Linked DNA regions of Elephas maximus indicus. The protein of the gene in region 1 interacts with the protein of each later gene in a biochemical or structural test. Links are inferred from orthologs where the notes say so. Each region holds a gene or a part of one and is shown in the gene's direction. Other genes may lie near its edges.

Region 1 (6,465 bases):
TGACAAGTGTACCCTTTCTGCCAGGCTTAAAGACCTTACTCTCCATCTTTCACAATCTTTTTTTTTTTTTTTTTATTGAGGTGTAACAAATATAGAGAAAAATAGAAATATCTTAAGTGTATAACATGACCAATTTTCACCAGGACAAGAAGTAGAACATTCCAACATCCAGGGAAGTTCACATGTTCCCCTTCCCCCATCACTCTCCTGCCAGCTGTGACCCCTCACATTCCTTCCCTCCTCTGTTTATCTGAGATCTTGGGGCATCCATTCTTCTTTCAAACCATTACTGACTCCTTCCTTCCTCCCATTTCTCTTTGGAGCCCCCCACACCAGGCCAACTTCTGTCATTTACATCACTGCCTGGTCCCTGTGGTAACTTGAGTTAGCAATCCCTGTTACCAGAACACTGGGATTACTCAAGAGGAGAAGAGAGTAAGTGGCAACCTGCAGACAGCTGGGGTAAAGGTACACTCTGTAGCTTGCTGAACTGCCAGGGCTGAGAGGAATCAACACCAGGTGGGCAGGGGGCAAAGAGGAGGGAGGTAGAGAGTGAGGAGGTAGGTGGTGGGGGAGCTGGAGTCACTCTTCTCCATGACAGGGGTTGGGAGGTCCCTGAGAGCCCACTGAAGTCCGATACGATTTTATCTCTGGACAAACCTTCAAATCATGGTGGTGATAAGGGCTTCAAACCCGGGCTGGGCTAGGAGTAAGACGAAGCTATCTGTGTCTGTGTGTTAGGTGACCTGGCTTAAGCGATTGAATTTTTGTGTCTCCATTCCCTCACCTAAAAAACATAGGCCAGCTATGAGGTCTGAATGCGGCACAGGATCTTCAAGCTTTCTAAACTGTAAAGCGCTGGGCACATACCAGCTGGCGGGGGGGGGGGGGCGCGCGGGGAGGCCACTGAAGGAAGAAATGGCCTGGGGTTAGCAAGTGTAGCCTGGCTGCTCTGTCTCAAGTAATAATACGGATGATGAGGATGATATGATAAGAGATAGCTGTAACAATTACAGCTAACACTTCTAGAATGCTTACTGCCTGCCAGGCACTGTTCCAAGTGTTTTACATCTTAAACTCACTCAATCCTGACAACTCTAAGAGGTGGGTACTATCACCTTTTCTTTACAGACGAGGAAACTGAGGAACTGAGAGGTTAAAGTGACTTGCCCAAGTCACATTAGGAAGTGGCAGAGTCCAAATTTGAACCTAAGCAGTCTGGGTCCACATGAAGTCTCAACCCCCAGGCTCTGTGCTAAGTGCTCTAGTGTTTTATCTCATTTAATCCTACGAGGTGGGTATTATGGTTATATTCCCATTAAAAAAAAAAAAAATTCCTCTTCACTCTCCTGCATATGTTATGCCTTCAGACTTTTCCCTGCATTTATTTTTATGTAGGTCCATATACTCCTGTTATCATCTCATCTCGCTGCATTTTTCTTTACAGAGCACGTATTAGAACCTGAATTTATTTACACTTTGTGTGTGTCCCATCACTAGGCGACAGGTATTTTGATTATTGTTGATTTCCCAATACCCAGAACAGTGTGTGCTACACAATTTAAATAATGAATGTAGCTAATGGTACTAAGTAGCTTTGTGGCTCGTGTTGCATAAATACTGTACATACTCCAATTTTTGAAAAACTGCCTTGGAGGATTTTTTTTTAATAGGTACAGCCTTAACGCCCGCCCCCCCCAAAACAACAAAAAACTTTGCAGTCAAGTTGATTCTGACTCACTACAGAGTAGAGCTGCCCCATAGGGTTTTCAAGGGTGTAATCATTGTTTTTATTAGGTGCCGGTGGAGTCCGTTCCAACTCATAGCGACCCTATCATCTTCACAGGGGCAGATCTTCAGGACTTCTCCAGCCAAACTGCTAGTGGGTTGGAACTGCCCAGCGCCACCAAGGCTCCTTGTAAATACATAGACTTAGCTCATAGTTTTTAACAGATGGGTGACATTCCATACTGTGGATGTGGCGCTGTTTATTTAACCAGTGTTCTATTTAATTAAACCACATTTTCCCAATGTTTTTCTAACCCAAAACCAAAAAGCCAAAACCGTTGCCTAGGAGATAGGGACCTCACAGGACAGAGAACTGCCCCAAAGGGTTTCCAAGGAGCCGCTGGTGGATTCGAACTGCTGACTTTTTGGTTAGCAATAAACGTCCTTGCACATTTCTTTTTGTGCATTATGAGTACATATTTGTACGGAAGTGGAATTGCTGGAAAGGTATATACATTTAAAAATGTGAATAAACGCCCAACCAAATCCGCTGCCACGTCCAGTCCATTCCGACTCATAGCTACCCTATAGAACAAAGTAGAACGGCCCAATAAGGTTTCCAAGGAGCGGCTGGTGGATTCGAACTGCCAACCTTTGGTCAGCAGCCGAGCTCTTAACCACTGCGCCCCCAGGGTTAAAAAAAAAAAAAAAAAACAAGTTGGTAACGTCAAATTGCCGTCCGGTATGTATTCGTGCCAGCGCTGTTAGGGTACACGGCAGGTTTTTATATATCTTGGACCAAACTGGCTATTACCAGTCTTTAAATTTTTTGTCAATCTGATGGGAGGCGGGGGATGAACCCCCAATTTATAGATGAAGAGGGTCTCAGAAAGAGTGGCTTTCCCACACAACCCGTGAGTGGCAAAGTCGTAACTCGGCGTCGGAGGTGTTCGACTACGGAGAGGACGCGCCAAAGCTGGTCACTGTCCTCCGTGCTGTGCATCCTGGGGGACGTCTGGTCACGCCAGGCTGCCAGGAGCTCCCCCGGCCCTCAGACCCGGCCCTCAGACCCGGCCCCGCCTGGCCGCCGCCGCCTAGCCGATAACCCCCCCAAGCCCTCTTCGCAGCCTCCTCAGCTCCGAAATGGCGACCGCCAGGAGCGCGAGGCTACGGCCCTCCCCTAGGAGGCGGGCCCGAGTTCAGACCAGAACGACAGATGCCCGAACCAAGCTCGTAGTCGGCTGCCAGGCGGGCTCGCGCAGAAGCAGAGCCGGTGGCGCAGCAGGCCGGGAGGAGGAGCACCGAGCGCAGGGTTCGCTCGCCGGGGCCGCCCGAGAGTGTCTTCATTGCGGGCGCTGGGGCCGCCATCTTAGATGGCGGGAGTAAGACGAGAGCGAGCGTGAGGCGGGAAGGCTTCCCTGCGGTTTTCCCTGGGCCCCGCAGCGGGCCAGTTGGCGAGGCTTTGGGGTGTGTATCCTAAGGCGCAGAGCGCGAGTGGGACGATGCGGGGACTGCCCGGGGCCCCGTCCCCGGGGTTGGGGACGCGTCGAATGTGACCGCCTCCCGCTCCCTCACTCTCCGCGGGGAGGAGGAGCGGACTGGACGCCGCCGCCGGACGACGGAACGCGGGGTCGGCCTGGCTCCTTCAGGTAGGCGGCGGCGCCGGGTACTGGAAGCCGGGGGAGCGGGGCGGCGGGGCCGAGGGACCGGGTTCCCTGGCGGTTGGGCCTGGGCGGCGCTGACGGAGCGGCCCCGCGGCTGCCCGGGCGGAGGGCCTGGGCCAGGCCGCTGTCACCCCGGGTGGCGCTGGGCGGCAGGGGTGCCCGGGGCCGGGTGTCATGGCCGGCGACCCAAGTTCCCATATCCCCACTCAGATTTCCTTGTGTTTCGGGGAAACGTGCCAGCGCCACCCCTGTGCCCAGTGCACATTCCTCATATTTTGGCAGTGGGAGAATCCGCCCAGAGCTGCCCCGTATCGGTGTTGTCACCCGGATGAGCTAATTCCTTTTTCTTTTCTGGTCGCGGGGTGGGTACCCGGGCCTGCACCTTCTCTCGGGGTCCTTCACCCCAATGTCACTCTTTTAGGGAGGATGAAAGGAATTGAGAAGAAAGGATATGGGTCAGTGCCCCATCACAAAGGCATAGGGGCCTCGCCTTGGGTTTCAGGACTCTGTGGGTTCCTAATGAAAGGTTTAGGATGCTTAGGCTGAGCATGGGCCCCGGGATGCTTCGGAATGAAGATCCAGGGCTGTCTTTTGTGTGAAATAAGAGCCGCTGCCGGGACGCTTCAGCCTTGCAACTGCACAGGCTCTGCAGAGCTAGCTAGTCGGTGCCCCGAGAGAGGAGTTAGGATCCCGAGAGGCGAGGCGCTTGTGTTCGTTCGTTGTTCATTTTCCAGGGTCTGGGTGTGCCCATGGTATTCATTCTCTAGTGGGAAGAATGATGGGGTCTCATATTGTCTCCTTGAGATGTGACCGGGTTCGAGGAGGTCACTTAATCTAGGTAGGGAATGAATTCACACGTTCGCGGAGCTTTTCTGCCTGCCTAGCCCTGTGCAGGGTGAGTGGGGAGAAACGGCCCTCCGTGCGCTCCCAAGACGTGAGAACAACGCCATATGATAAGGATTGGCTTGCCGAGTGCTGTGGGAACTTAGAACACCTAGTTTTACCTAGGGGACCTAAGGAGGAGTGTACGCCAGAGGGGACTTTTGCGCCGAGTTTTGAAGGACTGATGAGTAAGTGCTCACTAGGTGAGGAGGAGGGGAAGGGCATTCCTAGCGGAGAGAACTCCTGATAGGAAAGGAGGCATGCAGGAATTGGGATGAGTTTGGGGAGCAAGCAAATAGTTTGGGGTGCAGGGAAATAGTGAGAGAAGAGAGTCCAGAAGAAAAGTTGCTAGATTGTTAAGGGTCTTTCTTTGTTTGAACACAGTGGTGAATTAGTTGGTTTAATTTGGATTCTTCTGAATAAAAAATAGGTGTTGCTAATTTTTTATTCTTACTGATACCTAATCATTTTTCTCCTCTTTTTTTTTGAACGTTTTATTGTGTTTTAGGTGAAAGTTTACATAGCAAATTAGTGTTCCATTCAACAGTTCACAAATTGTTCCGTCGCATTGGTTGCTACCCCTGCAACGTATCAGCACTTTCTCCATTTCCACTCTGCCTTCCCTGTTTGCCTCTGTCCACTTTCCCTGCCCCTCCTTGCCTTCTCAGCTTTGTTTTTTGGGCAGATGTTGCTCATATAGTTGATTGTTCTAAGGAACACGTTCCTCACAGGTGTTGCTGTTTATTTTATAGGCCAATTTATTATTGGGCTGAAAAGTGACCTCTGGGAGTGGCTTCATTTCCAGGTTAAAAGGGTGTCTTAGGGCGATAGTCAGGGGGTTCCTCCAGTCCCTGTCAGTCTAGTAAGTCTTTTTTTTTTTTTTTATGAATTTGGATTTTGTTCTACATTTTCTCCAACTCTAACCGGGTTCTCCTATTGTGTCCCTGGTCAGAGTGTTTGGTAGTGGTAACCGGCACCATCTAATTCTTCTAGTTTTAGGCTAGAGGAGACTGGTTTGTGTGGGCCATTAGTCCTGTGGACTCATTGCTTCCTTGAGTCTTTGGTTTCCTTCACCCTCCTTTGCTCCACACAGGAAGAGACCAGTAGTTGTGTCCTTAGACAGCCGCTCAAAATCCTTTAAGACCCCAGATGCTACTTACCAAACTAGGATTTAGAACATTATTTTTATGGACTATGTTATGCCAATTGATCTAGATGTCCCCTGAGACTGTGGTCCTTAGCCTCCAAACCCAGTAACTCAGTCCCATGAGGTGTTTGGGTATGTCTAAGAAGTTTCCATAACTGTGTCCCATATATGTATGCTCTATTATATATATATGAGTATATATGCAGAACATACAAATATGTATATACAAATGCCCACAACTATACCTATATATGCACTTGCATATACTCGTATACGGCCACCTGTACCTATATAGCATACATGTCTACCTATGCAACCAAAAAAAAAAAAAAAACCCAGTGCCATTGATTCGATTCCAACTCATAGCGACCCATAGGACAGAGTAGAACTGTCTCCTAGAGTTTCCGAGGAGCGCCTAGTGGATTCAAACTGCTCACCAATTCGGTTAGCAGCCGTAGCACTTAACCATTCTGCCACCAGGGTTTCCTACCTATGTAACCACTCGCAAATTTTTGGTTGTTATTACTGTTGCAGAGTTTCGTTACAGCATTTACCTGGGTAGTCGTTTATTCTTGGGTACCTGTTACTGTCGTCATTTACTTTGGTCCCTCTCTTGATGATATTAAAGCTGATAGTAATTAAAAAGATTTACTTCGTTAAACCCAGTTAGGAACATTTTTAAAGTGTTTTAGATGAAATGCTTTCCATTTATACAGTAGTGAATGGACTGATGTCACATTCTTAGGGATTCATGCACAAGATTCCTCTAAAGTTATGTTTGCTCACAAAATGTTGAATATAATGTACATTTTACTAATTTTCAGTTTTAAATGGCTGTTGACAATATAAACCATGCTCACCAGTCATATAGAATTTGACAGATTTTATAAAGCACCTGAAAATGCTAGTGAATATTTTTGGAATAGCAAATGTGTTTTATATAGTAAAACAAGGTAGATTCCCCTGATTGCAATTCCCTTGTAAAGTCTTTCCCTCTATGAGCATAATTTTCCTAAAATAGCTTTGTTATTGTGATTAATGCTA
Region 2 (6,465 bases), on another chromosome or scaffold:
AAGTGATGTTTAAGATGAGCAAATGTAAGCTGGGACAAGAGTACAGTGAGGGTTGGGGGGGATGGAGGGAACAGCATGTGCAAAGGCTCAGAGGTAGCAGTGGTCAAAGAGAGTGATACCAGGGGCCTCACTAGGCAGTAGCATTGTGAGGAAAAGAAGTGGACTGATTAGAATGGCATTAAGAAGGTAGAATTTATAGAGCTAGTGACCAATTGCTTTTAGGGGAAGGAAGGAACAAGAATGGCAGCCAGGAGCAGAAATGTCTAGAATTTCTACCTTTCCCAACAGGTTTTGTATCAATCACCTCACCTTCTCACTGCAGCAGCCTGCCCTGAGCCTCCGGTAAAGAGATGGTGAAGGTGACTTTCCAGAGGTCATATGGGGAGTTAGTGCAGAACTCCTTCAGGTTACTCTATGATGCTGGCCCACAACCTGGGCCTGTCTTTTCTCCCTGACCCTTATCACAGTTGAGGGTGCTACATTTATCCAGCATCATCGATTAAGTCTAAAAAAAAAAAAAATTTTTTTTTTTTCCATTGCTAGCCCATGTGTGCCATGAGGGCAGGGACGGTTATTGGTTTTGCTTAGAAGGTTCTCAAGATGCATTTACAGAGCGAATGTAGGAAAGAAACCAACAATCATATCATCACTTCTTCTTTGAAGGCATTGTTTCCAGTCTGGACTCTGACACTTAACTAGCTGTGAGGCTTGGAGTAAGTCACTGCATTCCACTTATTTCTTTTACTCATCTGTGACTTTTAAAGTACATATCTTTGGCTTAGACAGCCTTCTTCTAGTATATTTTCCTAAAATCATCTGCCAGATGTGTAAAAATATGTGTACAAGGACGTTCATTTCAGAGATATTTTTAAAAGGAAAACCAAACCAAACCACCTAAATGTCCAACACTAAAAGTTTGTTGAATAAATTATGGCACGGCTATAGAATAGCCATTAAAATGATGAAGATTTATATTGGATATGGATGTTCTACAATGGTAGAGTAAAATGTCATTTTTGTGTGAAAAAAACAAAATCACCTATACCCATTGCTTTTTAAACAGGAAATATATACTCCAAATTGTCACCTATGTTTATATTCAGGTAGTGGAATAGAAGTCTTACTTTTTTTTCCTCTGAATTTTCTACAATGAACTTGTATTATTTCCTAATAAGAAATGAAAACAACAATTATTTTAGTCCCTAGGAGGTAGTTTTAAATGTCAAAGACTGTCCTAGGGCCAAATCAGATCAAGACCATTAGAAAGTACCTATTATATTTAGTCTTTGGTATTTTTTGGTGTCCTCGATGTTCTTTGCCAACACCGTAATTCAAATGCATGAATTCTTCTTCAGTCTTCCTTATTCACTGTCCCGGGACTGCCAGAAGAATGAACGAATCTTGGAAGAAGTACAGCCAGAATGTTCCTTAGAAGCAAGGATGGTTCGTCTCATATACTTTGGACATATTACCAGGAGGGACCAATCCAAAGAGAAGAACATCAGGCTTGGTAAAGTAGAGGGTCAATGAAAGAAAGAAGACCCGCAATGAGATGGATTGACACAGTGGCTGCAACAATGGGCTGAAACATAGCAAGGCACAGGACGGGGCAACGTTTCCTTTTGCTATGTATTTTTTTTTTTAGTCGAACGGACTAGTTGGCACCTAACAACATTATATTTAGCAAAAAGAAAGCGGTTGGTGGCTACAGTGAAAGGAGTTTTGGTGGATGCGGAGCTACTTGTCAATAAAATAGGAATTATGGTTTAAAAAATAATTTTTCAGGAATCTTGTGATGATCATGTGGGAAGGAGGATGAAATATATGTGCAAATATATGTATATGTATGTACATATATGTATAAAAATGTATACGTATACATATATGTATAAAAAAAAACAAAAACATTTATACAGAGGAAGAAGTAAACGCTCAAGAGTGAGGAAAATGCTGCAAAGCCTGGTCAGGCGCTCACTCAAAACAAGTGAGCATGCGCGAAAGTACAGGGCGCCTGTTACAAGACGTACAGGAGAAAAAGCAAGGCGTTTCATTTCTGAATTTTGAATATAGAGCAAGGAAACATGCAAAAAAGTTAAAAAAAAAAAAAAGTCAAAGTTAGTTCAATTGCATTTCTTGAAACAACGGCCTTGCAAGCCCAGCAATAGTCCCAGGGGCCTCGGCGTCCGCGGTAGTACATTTTTCTGGCGCAAAAGCAAAGCAAACCCAACTGCTGCATTGAGCCGGTGGCGCGAGACGCCCTGCGCTACCCGTCGGACCAATCAGAGATCAGACTGCGCCGCAGGGGCGGGGGCGTGGCGAGGCGCGCCGGCGCGTGCGCTCTCGTTGTCGCTGCGCGGCTTCTGGTCGGTGCTGCTGGGCTGTGGTGCGCTTCGCCTGCCGCTGCGTTGCTGACTGCCCGCCGCGCTCGGCCCCGCGATGCCGGTAGATCTCAGCAAGTGGTCCGGGCCCCTGAGCCTGCAGGAAGTGGATGAGCGGCCGCAGCAGCCGCTGCAGGTCAAATACGGCGGGGCGGAGATCGACGAGCTGGGCAAAGTGCTGACGCCCACCCAGGTATCCGGGGCGGCGGGAGGCCCGGGCGCCCTGCGCTCCGTCACGGCGGCGGGGGTGCAGCTGCTCTCGGCTTGCCGCCGTGTGCGGGCCGGCGGGGGCTGGGGACGGGGTTGCTGCCTGCGTGCGCTGCAGGCTTGGGGACAGGCCCGAGTCCCCGGGACCCGGCACGTGGCGCACGCGGTTGGCCGGCTGGAGAAACTGATCTGCTTTGCCAGGACTTAAAGGCACCGAGAGGGCCCGGAAGAAGCCCCGACTACGGGCGCAGGGACGGGGAGGGGGCCGTGGGGACTCGGGAGTGGGGGCCTCCATTTGGGGAGCAGAAGCGTCGCTGGAGAACACGTGACGCGTTATGTAACAGCGACCCGCAGTGCCTAGCGTTTTCTCCTTTGTTTTAGCGGTCGTGGAATCCACCCAAAGGGAGTAAGGACGTTCTGCAGCTGGCGGACGGTTCTGCAGCTGGCAGGTTCCAGGGCAACGGCCGGCCTTGTTCTACCGTTTGGCCCTCCTGGAGCCGGTGGCAGAGCCATGACCGGGTCCTGCCTGCAGAAAGTAGAGAAACTAGGTTTTCCGACGCCATTGTTAGTTGCTGGTTATGAAGCTTCAGGCCACAGCGTGAATAAACTGTTCTGACCTCAGGGTTTTATTTTTTTAATGTTTAAACAAAGTGACCATCTTGGAGCTGACCCAGCCTCCCTTTTCTCATATTAACTGCCTCACCAGCTTCCCTATTTCTTTTTCTCTGCACTGTAAATGCCCAGTTAATTGAGATTTCCTTTTAGCAGGCTCCAGGTAACCTGTCCACTTAGTCTTCCCAGTACTTTTCCGCTGAGGGTGAGCGTTGAGTTTGGAGACTCAGTCAAGGCCAGCGTTGGACTCGTGGCCCCACCTCCTTCTGTTACTAACGTACTGGGACATCACCCCCGCGGTGTTGTTGGCGTTAAATACTGTATTTACAACTTCAGCTCCTGGCTGTTCAGTAGACTCAATACGAAGTTAACGTTTATTAGTAATTGACTTTGTTTTACCTTTAAGGAAGGCCAGATCTAAGAAAGAACATTGGTTTCTTCAGCAATTCTTGAATTAACTCCGAACTGGTTCCTCACTACAGGTTAAGAACCGCCCCACCAGCATTGCATGGGATGGCCTGGATTCAGGTAAACTCTACACCTTGGTTCTGACAGACCCAGATGCCCCCAGCAGGAAGGACCCCAAGTACAGGTAAGTTGGGGGTAGGTGAGGAACAATGAATGGGCCATGCAAATATGATCTGCATTTTTCAGACTGTGTAAGTTTACAGCTGGGTAGCTCTACTAGGAAAAGTGGACCTGGTTTGGGATGTTCACACCCATGCTTAAATCAGCCTGTATTTCGTCCCCTTCCCTCCCTAGAGCAGAGGTCTGTAAACGACAACTGAGAGCCAAGTCCACCCACAGCCTGTTTTTTTCTGGCCTTGTCAGCTAAGAATGGTTTCTGTGTTTTATAAATAGTTGGAAAAAAATGTGAAAGAAGAATAATACTTTGTGACATAAATCTTATCTGAAATTCCACTTTCAGTGTCTATAAATAAAGTTTTGTTGGAAAACAGTGTGATTATTTATTTATGTTTTGTTTATGGCTGTTTTCAGCCGCACTGCAGAGTTGAGTAGCTGCCACAGAGACAGTATGACTTGCAAAAACGTAAAATCTTTGCTCTCTGTCCCTCACAAAAAGTTTGCTAAGGCATGCAGTCTACGGGAGGGTGGGGCTGGGTCCTCTCTCCTGCATACAGATGAAGCTCGCACTGGCCAGTGTCTGTCTGGTTAGGCTGCAGCCTGGCCTGGAATGTGATGTGCTCAGTACGCATTTGCTGGTGCAGTGAACCTGTGATTTCCTGTGGTGTTGATGACCCTGTGTTCCTCCGCGTAGGGAATGGCACCACTTTCTGGTGGTCAACATGAAAGGCAACGACATCAGCAGTGGCACAGTCCTCTCCGATTACGTGGGCTCTGGGCCTCCCAAGGGCACAGGTCAGTTAAGGCTGCTTTTGCGGGGAGGTGAAGGGGGACCTGGGTTAACACATTTTAGTTTGCTTTTTGAACTGGTACTCTTTTTATTTATGAGCGCCCTTAACCCCATGTGAGATTTAAGGCAGCTCATTTCAGCTTCAGAGTGGTTGGCTCCCAGAGTCCATTCAGACCTGCAGGAGTGTCCAGTAGTTAGAATCCTGGGTTCTGGCGTCAGATGGACCCTCTGTGTAGAATTACCTCTCAGCCACTTGGCCTTTAGGAAGCAAGAAAATTTGATGAGAAGATTCCAACATGGTGCTATTGTAGAAAGCTCGGAGTGGTTTTCTAGTGGATTGAATACAGTTAAACCATCTCAATTCTATATGCAGCCTCTGCCCTGTGTGATCTTTGAGTTTCTAATTCCTGTCAAAGGTCGCAGAAATGTCACAGCTTCCAATTATTAAAAACAAATTGGCTTTCTTATCTTTTTATGGCTCCTCTTTTCTTTCTCTCACAAATCTAATTAGTGACCTTGAAAAAATTTTGAGAACTTCTGAAGGCACACACGTACATATTGTATTGCATTGTATGACACATGTTATATGAGAAACAAATGAGAGAGGGAGAGAACACAGCTTTGAAACTCTCCAAGTTGAGTAAGGGCTCCCTAAGCTGCTAATAAATATTAATAACAATAAGCTGATGCATTATTGTTACCTCTGGTGCATTACAGCAGCTTTCCATTTTCTGGAACAAAGAAATAGTTATGGGTGGGGCATGGCAGAGTACTAGCTTTCATACATATTGTCCAGCCATGAGTTAGTGTGAAGGGGTACAGGGAGATCCCTGATAAGAGCAATTGGTCATGGACTCAATGTTTTATCTGTAGACCCAGAAGCTTCAGATGGCTTCTTGTCCTCTGATGCATCATAACAGGAAGTTAAAGGGACATGTTTCCCAGGGATCTATTAAGCTCTCTAGGGCAGTTTTAAAATTAGGCGGGTTAATTATGGGAAGTATTCTCATGAGAATAAAGCAATTCTCTGCAGTAGGAACTGTGTTCTCATATTTTTAAAAAAGCCTCAGAAATTGACTTTTTGCTTTGTTCATACTTTTAGTAAGGCATAATTTATGTATAATAAAACGTACAGACCATAAGGGCTCAGTTAATGAATTTTGACCCAGGCATACGCCCACGTAACCACTATCCAAAATAAAATATAGGACATTTCCGTCTCCCTAGAAGGTTCTTGTGTGACCTTTTCAGTTAAATTCTCTCAGAGGTAACCATTTTCTGACTCCTATCTCTGTAGATTACTTTTGCTGTTCTTGTATTCACACAAAGGGTATCATGGAGTATGCATTTTGTTTTGGTGACTCGTTTTTTTCGCTCAGGATAATGTCAGATTTATCCGTTACTGTTCGTATCTGTGGCTCCTTCTGTATTGCTCAGTAGTATTCCTTTGTGTGAATAGACCACAGTTTGCTTAGCCATTTTCCTGTTGATGGGCGTTTGGGTTGTCTCCAGTGTTTGGATATTATGAATAAAGCCGCTGTATAGATTTTTGTCATTTTGTTAGCATATGTTTTCATTTCTGTATAAATAGGAATAAAATTCTTGGGTCATAGACAGTTATTGGCTAATTTTGTATAAGATGTTGCCCAAGAGTTCTCCCTAATGGTTGGAAATTTTTATATTCTAATGAGCTGTACAGGAAAGTTCCAGTAGGTCCATATCTGTGCAGACGTTAGGTGTTGTCAGTCTTTCTGGTTTTAGTGTTTATGACCTTGCTGACTAATGATGTTGAACATCTTTAATGGTGTGCTTATTTAAAGAACTCTCCCCCCCCCCCCCCCGCCCGCCGCAAGAATTTCATGGTAACATTTGTGCCTACCTAATTGGAGCTTG

What was found.
Region 2: the proteins of RAF1 (region 1) and PEBP1 form a complex in vitro, tested with the Homo sapiens proteins (3 studies listed by BioGRID and IntAct, with this or other methods). The link is inferred for Elephas maximus indicus from reciprocal best matches to the Homo sapiens genes RAF1 and PEBP1.

The regions. Positions count from the first base shown.
Region 1 is NC_064838.1:37,862,941-37,869,405, reverse strand, and holds the start of RAF1 (RAF proto-oncogene serine/threonine-protein kinase), read left to right. Parts: upstream 1-2,969; 5' UTR 2,970-3,377; intron 3,378-6,465. UniProt on the Homo sapiens protein: Serine/threonine-protein kinase that acts as a regulatory link between the membrane-associated Ras GTPases and the MAPK/ERK cascade, and this critical regulatory link functions as a switch determining cell fate decisions including proliferation, differentiation, apoptosis, survival and oncogenic transformation.
Region 2 is NC_064840.1:15,686,462-15,692,926, forward strand, and holds the start of PEBP1 (phosphatidylethanolamine-binding protein 1), read left to right. Parts: upstream 1-2,339; 5' UTR 2,340-2,436; coding exon 2,437-2,571; intron 2,572-3,679; coding exon 3,680-3,789; intron 3,790-4,476; coding exon 4,477-4,577; intron 4,578-6,465.